Struthio camelus: one gene and its partners. The protein of the gene in region 2 interacts with the protein of the main gene of each other region in a pairwise test. Links are inferred from orthologs where the notes say so. Each region holds a gene or a part of one and is shown on either strand. Other genes may lie near its edges.

Region 1 (8,414 bases), on a different chromosome or scaffold from region 2:
CGTGATGACGTTGGCGCGGCCGGTGGTCATGGAGGTGCCCACGGTGAAGGTGAGGCGCTGGTCGAAGGCTTTGCGGAACAGCCCCAGCACCTTGTTGCCCTCGGGGCAGTCGGGCAGGTAGGCCACCCGCGTGGTGCCCGGGTACCGCACGCCCGGGTTGGGGTGCTCCACCTGCGAGGCGTCGGGCCGACACGGGGCGTCAGGCGCGGGGGTGCCCCCAGGGGGGCACCCAGAGGGATTGGGGTTACACCCAAGGGTGCTTGGCCAGGCTGGGCTTAGCTCCGTGGCACCAGAGCAGGGTCGGGGACACCCCCCAAAGTCGCAGCGTGACCAAAGGTGAACATCTGGCGTCAGGGGCACCCAGATGGGTTGGCGTAGCTGGGTGCCAGGGCACGCAGCCGCTTTTGGGGACGCACAACCAGACTAGGGTGCCCAAGCGGCAGCGGTGCAGAACCAGGTGGAGGTGCCCAGCAAGCTTTGGGGATGCCCAGTAGCACCACGGCCACAGAACAGGACAGGTGACACCCTACCAACTTGGGATGCCCCCATTGCTGGGGGCACAGGGGACACCTCGCCAGCCCGGGGTGCCCGGTGCCCAGCCGACGCGGGGTGAGGGGGCACGCGCTGTCTTACCCCTTGGACGCCGGGTGGGAAGACGTACTGGATGATGATGGTGCCGAACTTCTCGTAGCCGGGGAGCAGGAGGCTGGAGTCCTTGGTGACCAGCATGCGCCCGTTCTGGGGCTGGTTGCCCACCAGCTGCCCGTAGAAGCGCCCGCACATGGGGCAAGCGGTCTTCACCTGGAGCGCCCGCGTGATGCAATCCTCGCAGAACGAGTGTCGGCACTTCTCCAGCGTCTTCATGTTCTGGATCTCGCCCAGGCAGATGGGACACTGCCGGTCGGGTTCCTCGTCCCGCGAGCACCCCGGCGCCCCGCCGGCGCGCCCCCCGCCGCCCGCCGGTCCCCGGGCCCCAAGCCCGGGCCCGCTCTTGTCCAGCAGGGCCACGCAGCCCACCACCTCCCCGTGGCGCTGGGCCTTCTTCAGCTCCTTCTCCGTCTCCTTGAGCAGGGCCTTGAGGGCCTTGCGGGCCAGGTAGAGGCCGTTGGCGGTGCCCGGGACGGGCGTGCAGAGCTGAAGCACGTAGATGTCGGAGGTCTCGCCGTCCACCAGGATGCTCACCTTGGTCTCCTCCTTGAGCCGGGCCAGCTTGGCCGGGCTCTCCTTGGTCAAGAAGTCCCACACCCGCTTGGACACCGTCAACTTGTTCTTAGTGGCCCCCCCGCACGCCGCCATCCTGGACAGGACAAACGACACTGGGGGGGGCCCAGGCCCATGGTGTCAGAGCCTGTCGGGCGTGGGGTTCACCGCGAGGTGCCACAGCCCCCTCCCGCACGATGTCCCCAGCCTGCTCCTTCCTTATGGTGTCCCTCCATAGGCCTCCTCCCAGACCGTGATGCTTCCTCAACAGGCACCGGGTGCCCCCAGCCCTGTGGTACCCCCCGCTGGACCCTCCCCAGGGGGGATGGGATGGGATGGGATGGGACATGTCCCAGGTGCCACCTAGGTGGCACCGAGGCCTCTCAAGGACCCGCAAGCTGAGGGGATGTCGCAGGAAGGGGCAGGGGGTTGGGGTCTGGGGGCACCCTCGTGCCCAGCCCGCAGGAGCACCCAGGAGTCCAGGTTCTTGCCCTGCCCAAGGTGGGGGGGGGGGTCCCAGGGCCCAAAGGGGGGGGCAGCAGCACCCACCTGGTGAGCCCATGGGGGACAGCACGAGCCCGAAACACCAGCAGAGCCGTGATCAGCGGAGCCACGAGCCACGGACTGGGAGGGACACAGGGTCACACTGTGCCCCCCTCCCCTGGATCTTGTCCCCAAGTCCCACCCCCCAGCATGTGGGCCCCCCGGAAGGGCTCGCTGCCCCCTCCCCCGAGGGGGGTATGGGGGACACTGCTCTGCCCCCCCAACTCCCAGCCCCACTGAACCCCCTAAAGAGAAAATATCCCCCCCCCAGGTGCTAATCCCCATCAGGAGACCCTACAACAACAACCACGGCAGCGTAATCCATCCTACGCCCCCCACCCCCGCGGTGTCCCCAGGAGACCCTACAACAACAAACAGCCCGAAACGCCGGGCCCAGCACAGCGCCACCCCCGGGAACAGAGGGGCTGGGGGGGCCAGGTACGGCCTCCTCGGTGCCCCCCGCTCTCCAGACCCCACTGCTCGATGGGGTGGGGGGGGCACCAAACCCCTGGAGGACCCCAGGATGGGGGGGGGGGAAAGGGGTTGTTCACCTGCCCCTATTCCCCCCCGCCCAGGGGCCCCACTGCTGGGGGGGGCCGTAGAGAGGCTGTAGCCCCCCCCCCCCAGTTATGGGGGTCACCCCCCAGCACTGCCAGGGGAGGTGGCATGCAGGGGACAGGGATCACCGGGGGGGGGGGACACAGCCAGGGGACAGGACAGGAGCCGGAGGGGGGGCAGGATGGGGAGAGATATGGGGGGGGGGACGGGATGGCGACAAGGGGGGTGAGATGGGGCCGAGCTGGGACAGGACAGGTCGGGGGGGGTGGGCAAGGGGGGGGTCAGGCTGGGCCAGGGGAAGGGAGGGGGAAGAGATGAGGAGGGACAGGATGGGGGGGCAGGACGGGGCCCCGGGGGAGGGGGGAAAGGAAGGGTATGAGGGGGAAGTAAATGGGGGGGGCAAGGTGAGGCCTTGGGGGGGGCAGGATGGGGGTGAGGGGGGCAAGATGGGGCGGGGGGGGAGGAATAAGATAGGGCCCGGAAATTAGGGGTGGGAGGGGGAGAAGCCAGGCCTAACCAAGCCCCGGGGAGGGGGTGTCATGCTGGGGGGGGGGGGGCCCGGCCGGACCCGGGGACAGCGACGACAACGACGCCGGTGGGGGGGGGGGGAGAGGCTGGGCCCGGCCCTACCCGTTACCGGGAAGGAAATGAAGCTGGGCCGGGCCCTGCCCGTTCCCGAGGGGAGGGAGGGAGGGGGGGGGCAGGACGGGGCCCCCCCCGCGGCGGACCCACCATAGCCGGGAGGCCGGAGCATGGCGGGGGCGGCGCGGCCCGGAGCGGTGCGGCGGCGGCGGCGGCTGGCGGCGGCCGGGAGGGGGGGGGTGGGGGGGGGGAAAGGGTTGGGGGGGGGGAGGCTCTTCGCGGAGCCGCCGCACATCACGTGGGCGCGCGGGGCGGGGCGCCGCCGCCATGGCAACGAGGGCGGGGCCCATGGCGACGGCGCTGGGCGGTGTGCGGGGGGGGGAGAAGGGGCGGGGCGCGGCCTGGTACCGGCGGACGCAGCGGGGCGGGACAGGTCCCGCTCGGCGCCCGTCGCCATGGCAACGGAGCATCATGGCAACGGGGGGGGGGGCACGGGTATCGGGGTCCCGGTAACCGGGCACGGAGGGGCGGGGGAGGGGAGCGAACTGGGAGTCCCGGTAATGGGGTGCAGCACGTTGGTAAGGTGGGGGGGGCTCAGTACCGAGATAGAGCCTGGCTGTTGGGGGGGGGGGTCCCAATAACAGGACACAGCCTGGGGAAGGGGGGGGGGTCCTGGTAACAGGACACAGCTGAGGGAAAGGGGGGGGGTTCCAGTAATGGGGGCAGAGCCAGAGAAAGGGGGGCATCCTCATAATGAGGAGGGGGTCCCAGTAACGGGACACAGCCTAGGGAAGGGGGGGGGTCCCGGTAACGGGGGCAGAGCCTGGAGAAGGAGGGGGGGGGGTCCCGGTAACAGGGGCAGAGCCTGGGCTGGTTCAATAATTTATTTCTTAGGATACAGTGCTGGAGAGCAGCCCCCCCCCCATTACCCCCCCAGCACGGCAGGGTCCCCCGTGCAGTGTGTGTGGTGTGGGGGGGGGGCAGGAACAGGTCCCAGGACCCCGCTGATAACGGGGGGGGGGGCAACCCCACACTGTGACCCCACTTGTAACAGGGAGAGGGCCATGCCTCCCCCAGCCCCACTCCTACTGGGGGCGGGGGGGCCCACAGGCTCGCCATCCTCCCCCCCCAGACCAGACCCATAATGGGGGAAGGGGGGGGCTACTCCCGGGACACCCCCAGGACTGTCAGTGAAACACAGGGACACCCCCCCCAAAGGAACAGCCCTTTTTGGGGGGGTGGAGGAACCTCCTACCCCCCCACAGGAGGAGACACCCCACTAGCCCCAGGGCAAGTAGTGTTCAATTGCCCCCCCCCCGAGCATGGGGGGAGGTAGAAGCAATGCAGCCCCATGTGTGGGGGGCAGCCCCCAGCTTATTGCATAGGGCAGGGCTGGACCCCCCCACCCCACCCCACGGTAAAATAAGGCACTTGAATAGCAGCCCCCCACCTCCACCGGGCACCAACGGTGGGGGGGAGGAGCTGCCCCGCTCGCAGGCGGGGTGGGGGGCACCGTGCCTGGGGCGAAGGTCGGGGGGGGGGCCAGCTCAGCCCCGGGCCCCCCCCCATCTACGCGAAGATGTTGGTGATGAAGTCGAGGAAGCGCTTGGCGTACTGTTCGGGATGCACCGTGGAGATCTCAGCCCCCGCCTGCGGGAGAGCACAGGATATTGGGGGGGGGGGGGGGTCAGACCCTGCCCCAAACCTCCCCAGACCCTCCAAGGGCCCCCCCCCCCCCAAAAAAAAAGGAGGCCATCCTCTTCCTCGGGCTCACCCCGTGCTTGACGGTCTTGGCAGCGTGGGCGGCCTTCTTGCGGGCGTCGTACTGCGTGAGGACGTCGATGAGCCCCATGAAGTACACCTCCTTGCGGGGGCCACCTGGGGTGGGAGGGGGAAGCAGGCGAGGAGAGGGGTGGGTGAGCCCCACACCCACCTCTTCGGCCTGCCCCCCCCCCCCCCCCAAGCACCCAATGCCCCGCTCACCCTCGGCGCTCCGGATAGCGTAGACGTCCACATAGGGGTCGAACTCGCCGGGGCCCAGCGGCCGGTGGGAGTTGAGGTAGCTGCCGATGCCCTCCGGGGAGGTGCCGTAGGAGCCCACGATGGCGGCCCCCGCCTCGTCGCCCCCGCCTTCCTCCTCTTCCACCTCCTCTTCCTCCTCCTGCTCTGCCCGCGCCACGTCGTGGATGCCCAGCAGCAGGCTGTAGTCCATGATCTTCAGCTGCACCAGGAACTGGCGACACGGGGGAGATCACAGGAAGGGACATGGAGAACCCCTGGCCGGCAGCCGGTTTTTGGGAGGGGGGTACCAACCCTCGTGACTGCCCTAGTGAGAGGTGGCCACCCCCTCCCCAAACACCCAGCCCCTGTCCGGGCACCACGGCTCTGGCCTGGAGCCCCCTCACCCACCTCCACATCTCTCTTGAGCTTCTCCATGAAGTCCTTCTTGTCCTCCTCGCCCACGTAGACCTTCTCGTTCTTGTTCAGGAAGTCCATGTCCTTCAGTGTGGGCAAGTCTTTGCCCTGTGGCGAGACGAACATGTGGGACGGGCCCCTGCGGTCCCACTATGGCTGTGGGGAGCCCCCTCCCCACTCCAAGAAACCAGTGGGGTCCTCCCCGCCCTGATGGGGGACCCTGGAGGCTCACGGATAACAGGGACTCCCTGGGGACGAGCGTGGTGGCACCTTGCCTCCACGGTTCCTCAGGAGGTTGCAGGGATCAGCTCTCCCTCCACAGCTGCAGCCTCATCGTTAAGTGGAGGCTGGGGACAGGCTGATAACGAGCCTGGGACTGCCCCGGTTCCCCCTCCCCAGGCTGGAGGCTCCCAGCACCATCCTGCCCACGTCACTGTGCCGTGGTACCTTCTCCTTGTCGCTGGCTTCACGGGACACAAGGGAGCCCTGGAGGAAAAGCAGAAGCTGTGTTAGGCTGGGGGGAAAAATCAGCGCTCCTGGCAGAGGGGACAAAGGAGGGGACAACAGAGTTGGTTAAATCCACCCAGGGATGGAGAGCATGGAGAAGCAGGAGGCATGGATGACCCAAGGACACGGGCTGATTTGGGGGCTCTGTCTCAGCTCCAAGCCTCTAGCAGCTTTAGGGGGGGCCCCCGTGGCAGGACAGCAAGGCTGGGGCGATGGGGTGGGCGCCCCGTTACCTTGAGGTCGTACTTCCTGTGCACGGAGAGCCGGTGGCTGAACATGTTCCTCATGACGAGCAGGTAGGTCTCCTCACTGTCCACGCTCACCCGGTACATGCCCAGGAACCGGGGCAGCAGCGTGGTCCCGTGACACTTCACGATGTACTGCGGGGAGACGTGGGTGCCATCAGGGCCCTCGGGTGACCCTGGCGTTCCTCGCTGCCCGGCCACCGCGCCCCCGTACCTGGTGGTAGTGGGACAGGAGGCTGTGGACGTCGGCCACGTCCTCGCTCGACAGCTCCTTCACCACCAACGTGCGGTCGTAGGACAGCAGGAACCGCCGGTCGCTGCCCTCAGAGTGGGGCGGGCTCCGCGTCAGCGAGACCTGGGCAGGACGGGCGTCAGGCAGGGCCGGGGCGACGCCGGCGCGGCCCCGAACGCCACCACCGCACCGTGGACCCACCTGGTAGTCCTGGTCGTCGATGCCGAAGCGCTCCCGGAGGTTGCGGAAGACCTGGGGACAGTACTCCTTGAACTTGAAATGACTGGGCAGGTTCTCCCTGCGGGTGGAGGTCACCAGCATGAGGACAAGGAGCTCCTCAGGGCAGCCGGGGGCTTCGTCCCCCCTTTCCGGAAGGTCTCCTGGCCCCGTTCGGGACCACCGCGGAGCTGCCACCCGGCCGTGCTCACCGGTTGAAGAGGTGGTTGTTGACTTTGATTTTGGAGCTGGCCTTAAAGTCGTCGGGCAGGAGCATGACGGGCAGCGGGACCTGGCTGAGCTCGCCGATCTGCGGGGCAGCGGGACGGGTGACGCCGGTCCCCCCCGCTGCGCAGGGCCACCCTCCGTGACCCCGCCGAGGAGCCCCCAGCAAGGACCCCAGTCCTCCCAGCGGGTGGGCACCGGCGCCCGCCGCATGGACGTGGCAAGCTGGGGCCGGGGGGCAGCTCGGGCAGGCGCTTGGATTAACGAGCGGGTTAATGAGTGGCGGCCGCAGGTGGCCGGGGGTTAGCGCCGTTACCGGGGGGCAGCAAGCGGCATGGTGGGGGGGGGGGGCACACGCCATGCGATGGGGCCCAGGGGCCACCCACCTCCTCCGGGGCTGTCCAGGGGGGCACTGCGTTGCCAGTCCGGGGGCTGCTACGGGGACAAATTGGGGGGGGGGATGGGGGGAGCCGTCAGTGCTGCTGGGGGGCACAGCCCCCCGGGGCAGCGTGAGGGGGCTTCCCACATCAGTGTCATCCCCCCAACTGGCAGGTGCTGGACCCCAGACCCCCAGGGGAGAAGGTCCCGGGGCCCCTACAGGGGATTGGGGGGTCCTATAGGAGGGTGTCTGGGGTCCCTACAGGGGATGGGGGTGGGGTCCCGGGGGGGTGTCTGGGGTCCCTATGGTGGATGGGGGGGCTCCATGGTTGGGGGTGCCTAGGCTCCCTACAGGGGATTGGGGGGCTCCTATAGGGGGGTGCCTGGGGTCCCTACAGGAGATGGGGGGCAGTCCCACAGCAAGGGTGTCTGGGGGTCCCTAAAGGCAATGGGGGAGGGGGCCCACGGCAGGGGTGTCTGGGGTCCCTACGGGGGATGGGGGGGGTCCCACGGCAGGGGTGTCTGGGGTCCCTACGGGGGATGGGGGGGGTCCCACGGCAGGGGTGTCTGGGGTCCCTACGGGGGATGGGGGGGGTCCCACGGCAGGGGTGTCTGGGGTCCCTACGGGGGATGGGGGGGTCCCACGGCAGGGGTGTCTGGGGTCCCTACGGGGGATGGGGGATCCCATAGGGGGTGTCCGGGGACCCTACCGGGGGTGGGGAGGGAGGGTCCCCACAGGGGTTGCCTGTGGTCCCTACGGGGGATGGGGGACCCCATGAGGGGGATGTCTGGGGTCCCTGCCGGGGAGCACAGGGGTGTCCCACAACGGCGGCGAGGTCCCGGGGAAAGGGGCTCCCGGTCCTTCCCCGTGGCGGGGCCCGGTCCGGTCCTGGGGGGAGGAAGAGGCGCCGGGGACGGGTCGCAGCGGTGCCCCGGGGGGCCCCGCTCCCGTCCCGGCGATGCCCCGGGAAGGAGCCCCGCGATGGCGGCGGCCCCGGTGGGGGGGGGGGGGGTCCCGTGGCCGGTGCCGGCGGCCGGTGCTGCCCCACGGGAAGGCCCTGGGGGCGGGGAGGGGGGGGGGCCGGTCCCGGGGAGGGCCGGTCCCGCCCTCACCTGGTGGTTCACGCCCCAGGCCAGCACGGCCAGCAGCGGGTCGGCGGCCCGCGGCACCTTCACCCGCTGCGGCACGAACCGCTTCTGCTTCTTCTTGGTCTTGGTGCGCGGCCCCGCCGGCCCCGCCGCCGCCATGGCCGCCGCTTCCGCCCGCCTTCCGCCCGCCCCGCCGCGGCGCCGGAAGTGGCCTCGCGTCACCG
Region 2 (7,435 bases):
CATGAAGGAAAGGTCAGCACCATCGCTGCATGGCGCAGCTGGGGAAACTGAGGCACGGAGCAACGCAGGGAGAGCCCCAGGGAGTGCGCACAGGGTCCCTCACCTCTCAGCACATGCCGACACGGACCGCGTAGCCCGAAACCCCCCGGCTTCGCCCCCCTGCTCCCGACAAGCAGCACGTACCGTGGGGTCCCAGGCAGGCGTGCTGCAGTAGCCGTCGCTCCTCTCGCAGGGCTGGCCGGCGTAGCGGGCGGCCGAGGAAGGCACGGCGGGGCTGTGCGAGTCGGCGGGGAGGCCGCCACGGCCGCTTTTCCTCCCGTAGGTCTCCAGGTAGTCGTGGACGTAGTCGGAGCGCACGGCCGCCTGGTAGAGGGTGCAGAGCTCCTGGCGGGTGCGGGCGGCCGGCGGGCCGTGGGTGGGCGCGTAGCCGCTGTCCGAGGCGTGCAGCCCCGAAAACTCCCGCGCCAGGTCCGAGTGGCTGGTGGATTTCCGGCGGCTGAGGGGCGCCGGGGCGGGCGCGTAGCCCGGGGGGCTGCCAGGGGGCCCCGCCAAGGCATAGCACGCGCCGCCGCTCAGCCCCCCGCCGCCGGGCGGCCGGGGCTGGCTGCGGATGTACGCGGGGCTCAGGCGGACGCCGGAGTCGGGGTACAGGGCAAGGCGGCCGGCGTCGTAGCCGCTGGTGGGGGACAGCCCCGCGTGGTGGTAGCGGGGGGAGGCCAGGTAGCTGGCGGAGGGGCTGGTTTTGAAGCCGATTTTGTCCCTGTCGGCGTAGGACGTGGCCAAGGTGGAGCCATAGGAGGAGGAGTAGGAGCTGTAAGCGGCGGGCACCTTGCCGTAGGTGGTCTCGGCGTAGCGGGACGCGTCGACGTACCGCTTCAGGGTGGAGGAGAGCTGGGACATGCTGCAGGCTGGGGCTCAGCAGGCGCCGCTGGAGGCATCGACTGCAAGAGAAGAGGTGTCCCCGCTACCTCCTGCAAACGGCAGGCAGCTCCCGGGCCACGGTCACGGCGGTCCTCGCTCGCCCCCCGCCCGCGGCCCTCCCCGGCCCCTGGACGCCCCCCGCGCCGGGGGCCCGGCAGCCCGCCCCGCGGCCCTGCCGCCTGCCTCCCTTCGACACCTCGGGCCGAGGCGAACCCTCGTGGCCAGGCAGCTGCCGTGGCCCCCGCCAGCCGGGCAGCCCCTAAGGGTGGGTGGCAGCCCAGCTCGGACCCCGCAGCACCCGCCGGCTTCTCCCCAGCCGGCAGGAGAGGGGCAAAGCGGGGGCAGGTAGGCATGCAGGAGCCTGCAGCGAACTGGGAGCCAGCCCCGAGCTCTGCAAACACGGAGGGGTAGAGCAGGGGGAGAGGGGGGGCTGGTGGGGAAGCCCCCCGCCCCGGGATGGGGGAAAGAGGGGCTCCGCCTGCCCCTGCTCGCAGCCCCACGAGGCAGGGGGGCAGCAAGCTCCCCTGGGGCTGCCCCGGGCGCCAGGGCGCACGGCCGGCCGGGGACAACCCCCCAGCCCGCCAACGAGGGCTGTCCGGAGCCGATGGCTCCGGCACCGATGCTCTCGGGGCAGGGGCAGGTGGCGGGTCCCCTACCTGTCCCGGGGGCTGGGGCTGGCACCGGGGCGGGCAGGCAGCCCCAGCCGGGCTCCCCCGGGTACCCGGCGTCCCGTCCCTGGCAGGACGGTGGCTCCTGCGGCTCGGAGAGTCTCCAGTCACCAGGGAGATGACCCTGATTCAGAGCGTTTTTCCCAGCCCAGCCTGGGCGGGCTCTGGCCCGGGCTGGCCCCGCTCCAAGCGTCAGCCGCCCTGGGGGGGGACGGAGCCGGGCACCCTGCCCTGCCTTGCCCTGCCCGGCCCTCTCGCAGCCCCCGGCGGCCCGCGGGGCGCAGCCAGCCGTGGGGACCGGCACCGCGCGCCTGGTGCAAGGGAAGGAGCCGCCGCAAAACCACTCCCTGCCCGAGCCTGGGAGGGACCCCGGCGTCCTGCCCAGGGTGAGACCCCCGGAGACCCCAGGCAAGCGCTGGCTGCAGCCCTTACCCCGACGGGACCCCCCGTGGGTGCCGCCCCAGGGTGCCTGCCCCTGCCCTGGGCACGGGGAGCGCGTGCCCTGCATTTTCCACTGGCGGCCGGGTGAAACCGATCCGCGTGAAACCGGAGTCGGCGGCGGGGAGGGCTGCGCTGCGCCTCGCGGCCGGGCGCCCGCGGAGGGGGCTGCGGCCCTCAGCTCCCGTGGGCCCCCCCCCCCGTCCCTGCTCACCCCGGCGCGGAGGTGGCCCCGGCGGTGCTTTAGCAAACTGTGGTGAGGAGCGCGGTCCGGCCGCCGTGGCCTCCTGGCCGCCAGCCCAGCTTTGTGGCCGGCCGGCCGCGTCCCGGTTGCTGTTGTTATTGCTGTCCCACAGCGGAGAGGAAACTGCTCGCAAGCAAGAGCAAGCTGGAGCGCACAGACCTGTTTGGGAACGGAGGGGTGAATAATCCGCTTCCAGGCAAATACTCCGGCGAAACACCCGGCGCTTCCCTGCCAGGCCCTGGCCGCCCTTGCCAGCGCTGGGAGGGCCCAGGAGCTGCTTTGCCAGCTGGGATTCGGTACGCGCAGTGGGGAACTGCGCTGGGAGGGACACGGCGCCCTCGGCTCCCCCAAAACCCTCCTGGCCGGGGCAGGGAGCAGCCGAGCACCGAGAGGCTCCGCGCGCCGCCCCGCTCCCGGTGCGCCCGGCCGAGGCGCCACGGCCCCGGGCTCGGGACGGACGCCTGGGTGCCGGCACAGCCCTGCCCGCAGCAGCCTGTCCTACCCCCGCCACCCAGCCTGGCTGGCTGCTCTGAGACCCGTCGTGCCCCCGCCACCGCCGGCAGCGCCTCGCCCGGGTACCCAGCCGCCGGGAGAGACGCTCGCCCCGGCGCCCAGCGCGGCAGGTGCTTTCTGGCAGCGGGACGGGGCAGCAGACCGGGGGGCAAGCCCGCGGCGGGGTGTGGGGCCGGCAGCGGGAACGGCGCCCGCGTGCGGGTGCTAAACCCGTCGGCGTTATAGGACGGGAGCGATCTTACCGTGTGGGACCGCCGCCGTCTACCACGACCGCCTGCCCCGCGCGGTGCCCGCCTCACGCCGTGCCGGGCGCCAGGGCTGCCGGAGACGGGGAGCGTGCCATGAGCCGGAGGAGCTGAGGGGGTGTGAGAAAACCCCGGTTCCTCCCATTGCTTCCTGGCCCGCGTGGCCCCTCCCTGCCCACAATAACGCTGAGCTTTCCTCCCGCCTGGCACAGCCCCGGGGCCGGCACCGCTGACTCAGGCCTCCCGCACCCTCATTATCCTCCTTGGGCGTCCGGCGAAGCTGAGGCACAGGAACGTCCGGTCCGTCATCACACGGCCGGGCGGCACAGCGGGGCCCAGGAGTCCGGGCGCCGCAGGGGCTGCTCTCCCTGCTGGGGAAGCCTCCCCCAGCCTCCGGCGCCAGCCTCCAGCTCTGGCCGGCCTTCCCGAGGGACGGCAGCAACGGGAAAACTCCAGGCTGGGATAACATCGGGGCAAAGCCTTCACCCCGGAGGCAGAGGAGCGGGGAAGGATGCTGCCCGGACACCCTGCGCCCTCCCCAGCCACTGTCCTCCACCCAGGACCTCGAGCCCCTGGCCCTGGCCAAGGCCGTGACCCCTCCGCGGCCCGTGAAGGACCCGGGCAGGCTCAGCTTACACAGCCCCGGCTGGGTCCAAGGGGTTACAGCACAGCTGCTCCTCGCTTACGCAGGCTTGGAGCTGTGTCTGCCCCCCCGAGACACGATGTCCCAGCCTGGAGGTTACTCGGGGAGCAATCTCTGGGACGGCGGGGGCAGAGGGGACGGCCCTGCGTGGCTTGGGGTGGAGGGGCCCCACATGCACGTCCCGATGGTGCCGTAGGGGTCAGGGCAGCCCCCGGCCCGTTCCCCAGGGGGATGAGGCCAGGCACAGCTGCGTTTCCCGCGGGGAAGGGTAGCCCCGAGCAGCCCCGGCTGCAATGTGCTCCAGCGGGTTTGCTCCCGCGAGAGGCCTGCGTCACCCGCGCGAAGCCCTTCGGCAGCAGATAAAGAGACCTCAGAGCCCTGGGGCGCTGCCGGCAGCCCTGCTCCAGCCCCGGCGTCCAGCGCACGGGTGCCACCGCGGCTGCGGAGCTCCCCCGTGCCGCTGGCGCTCGCCCCCAAGGCTAAGGCACCCGACAGGGTCACGGGTGCTGCCGGGGATGAGCCCAGCCAAGGCCCTTCCTGCAGCAAAGGCATCCCCTAGCAGGCACAGGGCCTGAGAACCTGCCAGCTCGTTTCACGTGCTGGCTGGGAGTCATTGGCCGGGATTCGCGCTGTGCCGCTGACGCATACCCACCTGGCTGCAAAACCTGCTGCTCATCCCTCCTGCTGGGCCACCCCCCCAGGCAGTAAAACCCCAAGCCCACGGGGAACCCTGACGTAAGACCCAGCACACGTTATTGCTTTGAGGTCTGCGGGTGGAAAAAAAGAAGGGACCCCAGGGAGGTGTCCCGAGCGCCCGGCTCCGCCAGCCCTCGGCGATGAAGAGGGTGCCGGGGGGCAGAGAGCTGCCGGGTTTTCACGCGTGAACTCTGAACCCGGCCAGCCCTCCGGAGGCGAAGCAGTCGGCAACCTCTCCCCGCGGTTTTACCCAACCAGAGGTAGGGGGGCAGAGTTTTGCCAAGTCCTCCCGGCGATTTTGCAGCCTCCCCTCCCACCTTGTCGTGCGGCCCCGGCCCCGGGGCAGATGCCGGGGCTGGCGTCCCCGCGGCGGTCCCGTGGCTCACCTGCGCGTGGGTCGGCTGGGCGGACGGCCAGCGGCTGCTCACGGGGGCTGTGCCGGCATGGCTGCGGGCAAGCGGCCGGTCGTGGGGTACGGCCCGCGGGGCTCGGCGGGGGGAGCCGATCCTGCCTCCCCGGGCGCTTCCTCTGGGGCCGGAGCAGAGCAAGCGATGCAGAGGGGGCCGGCAGCGCCCGACCTGTTTGCAGGCGGACGGGCCGCCCCGCAGCTCGGCTCCTCCACCCTCCAGGCGCTGGGCGAAGTGGCCCGAGGGGGCTGTGCCGGAGGGCCGCGAGGCCGCGTAAAAACGCCACGGCAGAAATTCACGGCTCAGGTTACCGGCTAGATAAATATAGTGTCTTTATCTGACCTCACAGGGCGCCGAAATGCTCCTCTCGCATTCCAGCTTCGGGAAGGCTTAAAGGGGACGTGAGCCCGGGGGGGCTGGTGGCCCACGGCAAGGGGCTGCTAGCAGGGGAGGCCAAGAGGGGAGCTGGGGCAGGGGCGAGGAGGGCTGCAGAAACGGGGCAGGACGCCTGGGGGTGAGTGTGGGGAGAGGTTTGGGGAGGGAGGGGAGCTCCAGGGGAGAAAGGAGGGGCAGAGAAGGAAGAGGGGTGCCCCTGGCTGCCGGGGGGGGGTCTGGAGCAGAGCAGCAAGGTGATGGGAGGAGATGTTCTGGGTTTTGCTCCTCTTGGGGCAAGCAGTGGGGAGAAGAGCCTCCCCCAGGCCCACAGTAAAGGCGGGAGCGGGGGGACCCGGCGGTGGGGGGGGCACCTGGCCCTGGCCCTGCGCCCCAAGCCCGGCGTGCCCAGGGCGGCGTGGGGCGCCCCACGCGCCCGCACCCCGGTGGGCCGGGGTGACTCAGTGAGCACCTGCTGCGGATGATGAGGCGGGATGCAATCACGCTGGCGTGTTCCTCCCTCCTGGCCGCCCCAGGGAAGCGTCGGGGCCGGGGCATGACGCCGGGAGGCTGCTACGGGCTCCCCGGCCGTACTAGGGGCTGGTGGCAGGGCCCTGCTCCCAAACTGTATTTCCCAAGCGTGTTTCTCGGCCCAACCGGGCAGCACCTCGACCCGGAGCGGGGAGCGCTACGCCGCTGCTGCCCGGCTCCTTCGGAGGGTGCCAGGCACCGTGGGCAGAGCGCGTCAGCAGGCACGCAGGTGGGGGACCCTGGCGTGACGCGCGCGCCGCCCCGGGGCCGGCACCTCTGGGACGCGCGTGCACGCCCCGCCGCCCTCCCACGCGCGCCGGCGGCCTCGGCGCCAGCCGTTCCCTCCCCGGAGGACGTGCCCCGAGGGCTGGCCCCCACCCTGCTTTGCAGCCCTGGGCGGACGGGATGGAGAGGCCCCCTCGGACCCGGCCCGGGAGGATGACGCAGCCCCGGGGTGCCCAGCCGGACCTACCCCGCTTCGCCCGTGTCCCGGCGGCGCTGAGCGCCGGAGCCCCGGCCCCGAGCTCACAATGGGGCCCGGAGCCCGGACCAGGGCGCTGGGGGCCCCGCTGCGGGCAGGTCGCCCTCCCCGGGGGAGGCAAGGCTGGTGCTGACCCCACTTCTTGCCCACGGGGTTTGGGCTGTGGAGGTCCCGGGGCCAGGACCCCCCCCCCAACCCGCCCCCCGCCTGCGAGCACGAGCTGCCCCTTCCCTCCCTCCCTGCACCCCACAGACACGCGGCTCCGGCACACGACCTAGGGTTTTATTGTGCAGACAGAGGGAAACTCTTGAAGGATGGGTTTTCTTGTTGTTGCTTCTGGTAGGGGTTTCTCTTTCCCCCCCCTCCCCACTCCACCCCCTGCCCTTTAACAAAGTGTCTTTTAGGACAAGCTGTGGGAACAACTACAGATGCTCACAGAAGAAATGAGCCTGGAGATGCACCGGCGCGCTGTGGGCTGGGCTCGGCGCCTGCCGCGGCGCTCACCAGCGAGCCCGGCGGCACCACGCGGCAAGCAAGCAGGCAGGGGACCGGGGACCGGGCAAGGGGGCAGCTCGCCGTGCCCAGGGCAAAGCCAGGAGCGATCGCCAGCCACTGTGAATTGCTCTCCGCTATGTCGGCGTGGCCTGGGCCGCAGGGAAAGGTGGCCGGGGGCCGGGGCTCACGCTGCCCGACCCCAGCTCCGGGCGCCCGCACCTCCCTCTGCCCCGGGACCCGTCCCTCTGCTGCGCGAGGGTGCCACCGCGCTGTCCCTCCGCATCGCCGGGCCCAGGGCTGCTCTCCTCTCCCTGCCCCGCTCTCGGGAACGTCCTGGCCTCGCTCAAGCGGTGGCCAAAAGCTGGGCTGCCCTTAAGCCCTTTTCTGCTCTTCAGTGGGCACAGGGGAAATGCCCAAGGAGAGGGAGGGAGCGGGGGGCGGAGAAGGGAGGGGGCACGTGGGCTTCTCGCAGCGCCTGGCGTGGCTGGACCCCGGAGGAAGACTGCCCTGGAGGAAGGCTGCTGAGCCTCCCCTGAGGGAGCCCGGGGCCAGGCCGGGGATGTGTGCACGGAGGAGGGATTAGGACCTTCAGCCGTTTCCTACGGTCCCCTCAGGCAGGATGGGGAGACATGCAGAGAAGGGTAGAGGACCAGCTCCCCGCGGAGACCTGGGGGTCGGGGTCCCTCAGGGGAGCCCCCTCCATGCCACCCGCCTGGCCTGGCGCAGCCCCAGGACCTCGGGGCAGGGCAGCCCGGGCGCAGGCAGCGCCGTCGGCCTCTGC
Region 3 (7,407 bases), on a different chromosome or scaffold from region 2:
TTGCAAGTGACCCCCCCGTTTATTTTTTTTATTTTTCAAGTGGAAGGGATCGTCACCCGCAGGCACGAACGCGGGGCAGAGCTGGTGCATTGCAAACGCGGGTCCGACGCCAGGCTGCGTTTGGGGGGCACGAAGGCGTTTCTGTTCCGCCCCACGCGTGCCGGCCCCGGCTGCGCCGCCGCGCTCGCTCCCACGCCGCGCCGCTGCAGCGGGCTCACGCCTGCTTTCTGCACGCTTTCCGTAAACCCACGCACACACTCCTGTGTCACACAAGCGCAGCGCGGCCGGAGCGCTTTTGTTTCCCTCACGCACACCGAAATCTGCTGTCATAAACGCGCGATCTGACAAAAAGCACCAGCCAAGGGGCTCCTCTAACGGCTCGGGGGGAAGAGGAGAAGATCATTCCTTCACAAGCGAAAAAACCTCCAATCCGTTTCGCTGCATCGCAGCACGCAAACGACTTTCCCAGTGCCAATTAATCAACCCCCCCCCACCCCCGCCCCAGACCTTTGGACAGAGGTTGCTCCTGCTGTCTATACCCGGGCACAGTTCCCACAGGCTTTGGCAGAAGTTTTGCATAACTAAGATTTGCAAAACCGTAATAATAATTAATACTATTAATAATATCTCCAAAGCAGGGCTGTAGCTAGCTTCATCGCGGGGCAGCTCCCCAGGCACAGCTCCCCTCCTCTTGGCGAGCTTGATGCTACAAGACCCAGTGCCCGCTAAGTTAAGGAGGCTCAACAGTGGTTTAAACTCAGAGAGCAACCTGCAATTTAATAGCCGTTAGAAATAAAAATGCCAACTGTTTTTCTCCCCTCGCACACACCAGCGCTGCGCAGGGGGATCACAACAAAAGCGAGCGAGCCCTCGGCCGTCGCGGCCCTTCGTCCCGGCCTCTGCGACCCAGACCCTGGCCACGCACCCCGGGCTGCGGAGGGACGCGCAGCCTCACTCGCCGCCCAGCCACGAGGCAGAGGCCTTCGAGCTGTTTCTGCATTTCGGATAGCAGGGGCTCGCTAACCTCCCAGGGCTGCAGGCGTGAGGTGCTGCTGGAAAGCAGCCCCCGGCACAGCTGGCGCAGCTGGATTTCCCCTGGCTTTCCCTGCCCGGGGGCAGCCCCCCCTCTGCCACAGGGGCACCGTGCGCGTGTGCAACCCGTGCAGGATCGGGCCCGAAGCACGTCCTCCCATAGCGAACTGACGGCCCTAAGCGTGCGGCGGCCGCACGGCTCTGGGTGCTGGAGCAGCAAGGGGATTACACAGCTTTTCCCAAATAGGCAGCAAGGAAAACTTTCATAGCATCCCCCATCACATATTTTGTTTATGCCAGTATTTTTTGGTGCTTAAATAAATAAATAATAATTTTTAAAAGCCGGTTATTTCCTCCCTGAAATGCACCAGTTCCTATGGAAATGGCAGTGTCATGGGGAAGAGTCTGCTGGCACTCGGGGGGGGGGGGGGGCAAATGGCAGTTTTGCTGGGTGGTTGCTGCTCCGAGGTGACTTAGGCACCTAATTTCTTGTCGAGCCGATGAGGCTTCAGGGGCATAAAAGTAACTCTGCGGCTCTGCACACGAGGTCTTATTAGGGGACGGGAGGGAAGGCGCGGAGTCGGCTGCGGGACAGACCTCTGCGGCCCCTGCGGTGGCACGGGCTGTGCTCCTGCCCGGCTCGGCTCGCTTTCCCTGTTGGGGAATTTCTCTCCTCTCTACTGCAGAGAAATACCGTTTCAGAAGCGTGTTTACCCATCTAGGGCAGAGAGCAGAAACGAAAAAAGGGTAAATCCGGGAAAATACAGCCAAGGGAAGAACGAACGCGAGGACCGGGGGGCAGCGGCTCGCCGCCGCGGCAGGGCCGGGGCTGGCGCAGGCGGGTGGCACCGGCTTGAGTCCTTGGGAAAAAACAAAAATTAAAAAAGACCGAAAACGAATTAAAGCCGCCCAGGGCCGGGGGGAGCCGGAGAGCCCCGGGCACCGGCTCCAAAGCCGGGGGGGAGGCTCGGGCTCCCGATCAGGGACCCCCCACGCACCGTGTCTCAGCGCGTGTATCCTGCGCGGGTGCGTGTCCGTGTGCTCTACGCATACATGTGTCTTCGCACATGTATGGATACACCCACGCAGAGCGCACCCGCGCGTGCGTCTCCATACGGAGAGGCTGCTCGTATCTGTATAGATTATACGTGATCCGTTACACTATGCTTTTTTGGTATGTATAGACACAGCTATATTAACACACGTGCTGCGCGGGAGCGGAGCGGGCCCTCCACGCAGGCAACGCGCACACACACGCACGCGGGCGCCTTCCCGGCCCCGCTGCGTGCGAGGCTCCGCATATCGCGATACACGACATAGCGGGGCTCGGGGCGCGCGGCGGCGGGTGGGGGGCACCGCTGCCCCTGCGCACAGCCCTGCACACGCAGCGCCGTGCACACACACACACACACACAGACACACACACACACACGCCGACCGCTCCGTCGGGGCTGGGGGAGCCCGGCCGTCACCGCGCCGCGGGGCTGCCCCCCCCCGGCACCCGCAGCCGCGTCCCCCCGCGCTGCCCGGGGCGCTGCTCTCCCCACCGCTCGCTCCTATCTTCACGTCTGCTAACGCTGCTAGACATGGGGAGAGGGGGGGAAAAAATAAAAAATAAAGCCAAGGCCAAAGCACACGCAGGCAAAGCCCGGGCCCAGCAGCCCCCGGCCCAGCCCGCCCCGCACTCCCCGCTTTCGCCGCTCGCCGCCCTTCCCGGCTCCGCCGCGGCTCCCGGTTTCCTTTATTATTAGCCGAAGGAGGGGAAAAGAGAAAAGCGTCCTTACGTTGCATCGGCACACCAAGAATCTCTGGAAGCCCCTTGACAGCCCCTTCGGCAGCCAGCGCTGAGCTTTGCATCATTTTATTGCACCGGGGTGGGGGGGAGAAGAGAATCAAATCAAATCAAACCAAATCAAATGAAATAAAATCGAGGGAGCCGGCTCTTTTCCTCGCCCCTCCGCACACGGGGGCCGAAGCCAGCCCAGGGGCGAGGGAAGGGCGGCGGGCGGCCCCGCAGCCCCGCAGGCTGCCCCGGCGGCCGGGATGCCGCAGCTCTGCCCGCCCGAGCGCTGAGCTGAGCCGGGCCGGGCCGGGCCGGGCAGTGCCGAGCCGTGCCGAGCCGTGCCGAGCCGTGCCGAGCCGTGCCGTGCCGTGCCGAGCCGTGCCGTGCCGTGCCGAGCCGTGCCGAGCCGTGCCGAGCCGCCCGCCCGCCTTTGATTCATTCACACTGCGGGGAGCGCGCCTGACGTCACCGGCCCCGCAGGGGGGGGCGGGGCGAGCCGCCCCCCGCAGCCAATCCCCGGCAGCCCGCGCCTCGGGGCGCCGCCGGAGCGTGGCGGGGGCGGGGCTTGCAGCCGGCGAGTGGGCGGGGCCTGCGGGGAAGGGGCGTGGCATCTTCGGGTGCCCCGCCCCCAGCGGCTAGAAAAGGGGGCGGGGCGGGGCGGGGGAGCAGGGTGCTGTCGCGACAGGCGCTGTCGCGACAGGGGCTGCGGGGAGCGCACGGCCCGAGGCGCGGCGGCGGCGGCCCTGAAATCCCGCACCCGGGGCTGAGCCCGCTCCCCGAGGACAAACCTGCTCCCAGAGCTCAAAACAACAGTAATAATAAAATAATAGTAATAATAAGGAAAAAGAAGCCAGTAAGCTGAAAGCGAGGTGCGCAGCGGGCTGGCAGGAGCGGCGCGGAGGAGGAACCCGTGGGGGCGTCTGCCCCACGGCTGCGCCGGGCAGGACGCGGGCGGGCGGCTGCGGGGCTCTGCCGGCGGCGCGGGGGTCCGGGGGGGCGCGCGGAGCGGCCCCGCGAAGGCTGAGCCGGCCCTCCTGCCCGGCGGCGGCGGGGCAGGTCGGGAACCGCACGGTTTCAGCAGGTTCATGGTTTCACAAACTGACCGCCGAGGGGCAGGGGAAGGGGCTCCGATGCGCCGGAGCAGCCTGACGGCGTTTCGGCGCGCTTCGGCCTTCGCTCCCGCGCCAAAATGAACAAATAGAGGCGGTTCCCACCAGAAAGCCCTGAAACGGGGCCTCCGGCAAGGCGAAGAGGGCTCTCAGCAACTTCAAAAAAAGTCTTTTTTTTTTTTTTTTTTTAAACCCAACCTGAGACATTTATTAAGCCTGACGGTTTCAACAAGAAACCATTTTCAACGAACCGGTGGCTTTTAACCCCAAAGCCCCGTTCTGCCAGCGAAACCCCAGCCAGCACCTCTCCCGGCTCGGGCAGAGACCAGCGCGCACTCATGACAGGAGTGAGTCCCGCGGCACTAACACGTCTCCCCGGGCTTTCAGCCGGGGCCTGGTGGCGGTCTCGCCCGGAAAGCAGCTCCCCGCGGCACGGCCGGGACGCGGCCGGCCTCGGCCCCGTCGCCCCGCTCCGCGGGGAAGCCCCCTCCTCACTCGTCTCTCCGCTGTGCTAGGTCGGGGCCGACCCCCGCGTCCCCGGCCGCATCGCTCGCCGCGGCGGAGCCGAGCCCCGCGGCAACGACCGCTGGAAGAGGGGTTTCCGCTGGATACCGAGGACGAGGACGGTCCTGCTCCCCGGCTCGCCACGGCTCCCCCGGCGTTTGCATCTCCCCCCCCCCCAATTTCTTTGTCTCCTTTTTTCTGGCTGTTGTACTTTTCGGCTGCCCACGGGTTTTGCTTTGCCAGAAGGGAGGGGTTTGCAAGCAAAAACCCACCCTGGCCCGGGGCGGCGTTGGGGCTCTGGACAGGCGGCCCACGCCGGCAATATGGCGGCTCCCATGGAGTGAGTTTGCCAGGTCTCAGCCTGGCGTCTCGCCCTGCGCGGCCAAAGGCGCTGACGGGGACCGCGGAGGATCGCCCGAGCCCGCCGGGTGCAGGAGGCCGCCAAACCCTCGCTGTCCCCCCGCTTCCCCCCCGCCCCAGCCTTTCGCAGGGGGACGCCCGCCCGCCCTTCGCTGCCCACCCCGCCGTCGGCACCGCAGCGGCACCGACCGACTCCCACACGGGGCAACTCCCCTGCTTACCGGAGGCGCAAGACACGGTCTCGCCCCGGCGCCGGCCCTCGCCTTGCAGCAGTCGCCCGACGGGCGCCGAAGCCGCGGCGCCCCGCGCGCCCGGGGAGAGATGCTCTCGCCCGTGCCGAGAGGGGAAAGAAAGAGGGAGGCGGGAGGCAGCGCTGGCCGGCGCCCGCCCGGGGCGGGGGGGTGGGGGGGGGGGGCTGCAGCCCGGCCTCGGAGAAAATTAAATTGCACTCGAGGGCAAATGCTATTAGGGAATAGCGAGCGTCTCTCAACAGCCTGCGGCCATTTAGGTAATTAGCCGCGGGCGCTCCGTTTCCCCCGCCGGGCCAAGGAAGGGCTCAGACCCCCCTCGTCGGCCCGGCGGGCGAGCAGGGCTCCGCTAGCGGCAGAGACCTCCCGCGCTCGTCACACCCGCGGGCTGCGCCTGGCCGCCCGCCGGCTGCCGGCAGGTCTCGGCCCCGCAGGCGGGAGCCGCCGGCCGAAGGCTCGGCTAAGGGCACCTCTCCTCCCACCTGGGCAAAGTGAAGATATCAAGAAAAAGGCTCCAAATCGGATTGACCCCCCCCTCCCCTTGCTCCCCCCTAATAAAGTTTATTATCAGCCGGGCTCTAATCCTTTTTAAATCCCCCGTGCTGGGGGGAAGGGCTGGGATTAGGGCAGGGCAGCGTAATCCCAATGAATTTGTTACAGGGGGATTTAGGCAGCGCCGGGCGAGCAGATGGCCCCGGCCCCGGCTCTGCAAAACAACCATTTTCCTTAATGATTCGTAACAAGGATAAAAGGGCAGGGAGGAAGGGGGCCGGGCACCCGCCGCGGCAGGCGGGGACGCGCGTAGGGGACGGGACAGCGCGCGGCAGGGACGAGCCACCACAGCCGAAGTGATGTTGGCAAAAATAATTTATTCCGCTACCGCACGAAAACGAAACACGCTGCTGACCACGGCCCAAACCGACGGCTTTTCCATCACCTGCCCGGGAGGGTGCAGGGGATAACACCCAAAGCCACTCCCGGGTCGTCTCTGGAGGATTCGGCCTTCGAGGGAGCGAGCCGGGAGCGCGCGGGGACGGTTTCCCCCCTTGCGGGCTGCCGCCACCCTCCGCCGCGGGGAAAGCGAAGCGCAGAGGCCGGCCGGCCCACCCCGCAGCCTCCCAAGCGCCCCCAACGCTGCTAGTGGTTTAACCCCAAAGGGCTGCTCGGCCGCGCCGGCCCGAGCTTCCGCCCGCTTTGAGACCAGCCCAGCGCCGAGGAGCTCCGCAGGCTGCTCGGTGGGGAGACCCCGGCCCCCGCCGGCGATGCCGCGCCCAGCGAGCGGGGTGCCCCCAAACGCGGCGCGCCAAGCCGAGGCGCTGCTCTTCTGATACCTCCCCCCCCCGCCCACCCCCAAATTCGCCCTCCCGCCAGGGTGAGCTGAGCTGGTTCCCAAACCCGGGGGCCTCGGAAGACGCGGCTGCCGCAAGCGGGGCAGCTCCTGGCGAGGAAGCAGCAAAACCTTTCCCCTTCCGCTACAAAACTGGCCTCAACGCCGTCCCACCTGCGAGCCGAGCAGGCGCCGGGCCGGGGAGGAGAACCCCTCGCCCCCCGCCATGCCCCCGGCGCCCCGCTCCGGCTCAGGCCATGGGGAAGCCCGGGCGGCCCTTGCGGGAGCGCATGCGGAGGCGGAAGAAGGTGTACATGCCCAGCAGGCACATGGAGGAGAGGAAGTAGAGCACGATGCACAGGCTGATGTCCACGCGGGAGAAGCCGAGACCCAGCACGCGGAACCACTGGCTCCTTCGCAAGCCGGCGCCGGCCTCCTCTTCCTCGCCCGGGTCGCCCCCCTGCCGCCACGAGCCCAGGTCCCGCTTCCGCGGGCGCTCCCAGCCCGCCGCGTAGTCGAAGTCCTGGGGGCCGCCGGGCGCCAGGTGCAGGGGGATGGTGTCCCTCTTGGTGAGTCGCCGTCGCCTGCCGGCCGCCGCCGCCCGCAGCGCCTTGCTCTTGAAGTGCTGCTCGCTGAAGGAGTCCAGGTCCACGATGTCTTCCTCCGTCTCCCGCGGCTTGGGGTTCATCCGCACGATGCTGGGCCTGCGCAGCTCGGAGGAGCCCGGCCGCTCCGGGGCTCCCATCTCCCCTTCCGCGCCGTCCCCCTTCGGCTTCTCCGCTTCTTTTTCTTCCTCTTCCTCCTCCTCCTCCTCCTCCTTTTCCCTCTCCACCCCTCTGTCTCTCTCCCCTGGCCTGTCGGTACTGAGCCTGGCGTCTGCCGCCGCTCCCATCTCCCGGCTCTCCCTGGCCAGGAGGTCCGCGCCGGACTCGGTGTAGTCCGGGTAGATGTTGGCTGGGGAGAAGTGAGCCTTGAGGAAGCGCAGCACGGCCGGCTCGTCCCACGCGTGCACCCCGCTGTCCTCCTTGTGGCACAGGGGACACA

What was found.
Region 1: the proteins of USP2 (region 2) and DTX3 interact in binary tests that used the Homo sapiens proteins (3 or more experiments, as listed by UniProt). The link is inferred for Struthio camelus from reciprocal best matches to the Homo sapiens genes USP2 and DTX3.
Region 3: the proteins of USP2 (region 2) and LHX4 interact in binary tests that used the Homo sapiens proteins (3 or more experiments, as listed by UniProt). The two-hybrid records come from large-scale screens. The link is inferred for Struthio camelus from reciprocal best matches to the Homo sapiens genes USP2 and LHX4.

Annotation. Positions count from the first base shown.
Region 1 is NC_090969.1:2,297,340-2,305,753, forward strand, and holds the start of DTX3 (probable E3 ubiquitin-protein ligase DTX3), read right to left. Parts: upstream 3,128-8,414; 5' UTR 3,034-3,127; intron 1,825-3,033; 5' UTR 1,763-1,824; coding exon 1,750-1,762; intron 1,317-1,749; coding exon 634-1,316; intron 172-633; coding exon 1-171. Other genes in the region: PIP4K2C (phosphatidylinositol 5-phosphate 4-kinase type-2 gamma), read right to left, coding at 4,453-4,533, 4,658-4,761, 4,867-5,116, 5,293-5,406, 5,746-5,784, 6,039-6,185, 6,265-6,405, 6,484-6,580 and 2 more. UniProt on the Homo sapiens protein: Regulator of Notch signaling, a signaling pathway involved in cell-cell communications that regulates a broad spectrum of cell-fate determinations.
Region 2 is NC_090963.1:3,219,408-3,226,842, forward strand, and holds the start of USP2 (ubiquitin carboxyl-terminal hydrolase 2), read right to left. Parts: upstream 3,140-7,435; 5' UTR 3,027-3,139; intron 2,431-3,026; 5' UTR 2,242-2,430; intron 1,642-2,241; exon of another isoform or gene 1,578-1,641; intron 942-1,577; 5' UTR 901-941; coding exon 184-900; intron 1-183. UniProt on the Homo sapiens protein: Hydrolase that deubiquitinates polyubiquitinated target proteins such as MDM2, MDM4 and CCND1. Isoform 1 and isoform 4 possess both ubiquitin-specific peptidase and isopeptidase activities.
Region 3 is NC_090949.1:6,654,244-6,661,650, reverse strand, and holds the start of LHX4 (LIM/homeobox protein Lhx4), read right to left. Parts: upstream 3,255-7,407; coding exon 3,118-3,254; intron 3,085-3,117; coding exon 3,070-3,084; intron 2,924-3,069; coding exon 2,817-2,923; intron 1-2,816. Other genes in the region: QSOX1 (sulfhydryl oxidase 1), read right to left, coding at 6,614-7,407. UniProt on the Homo sapiens protein: May play a critical role in the development of respiratory control mechanisms and in the normal growth and maturation of the lung. Binds preferentially to methylated DNA.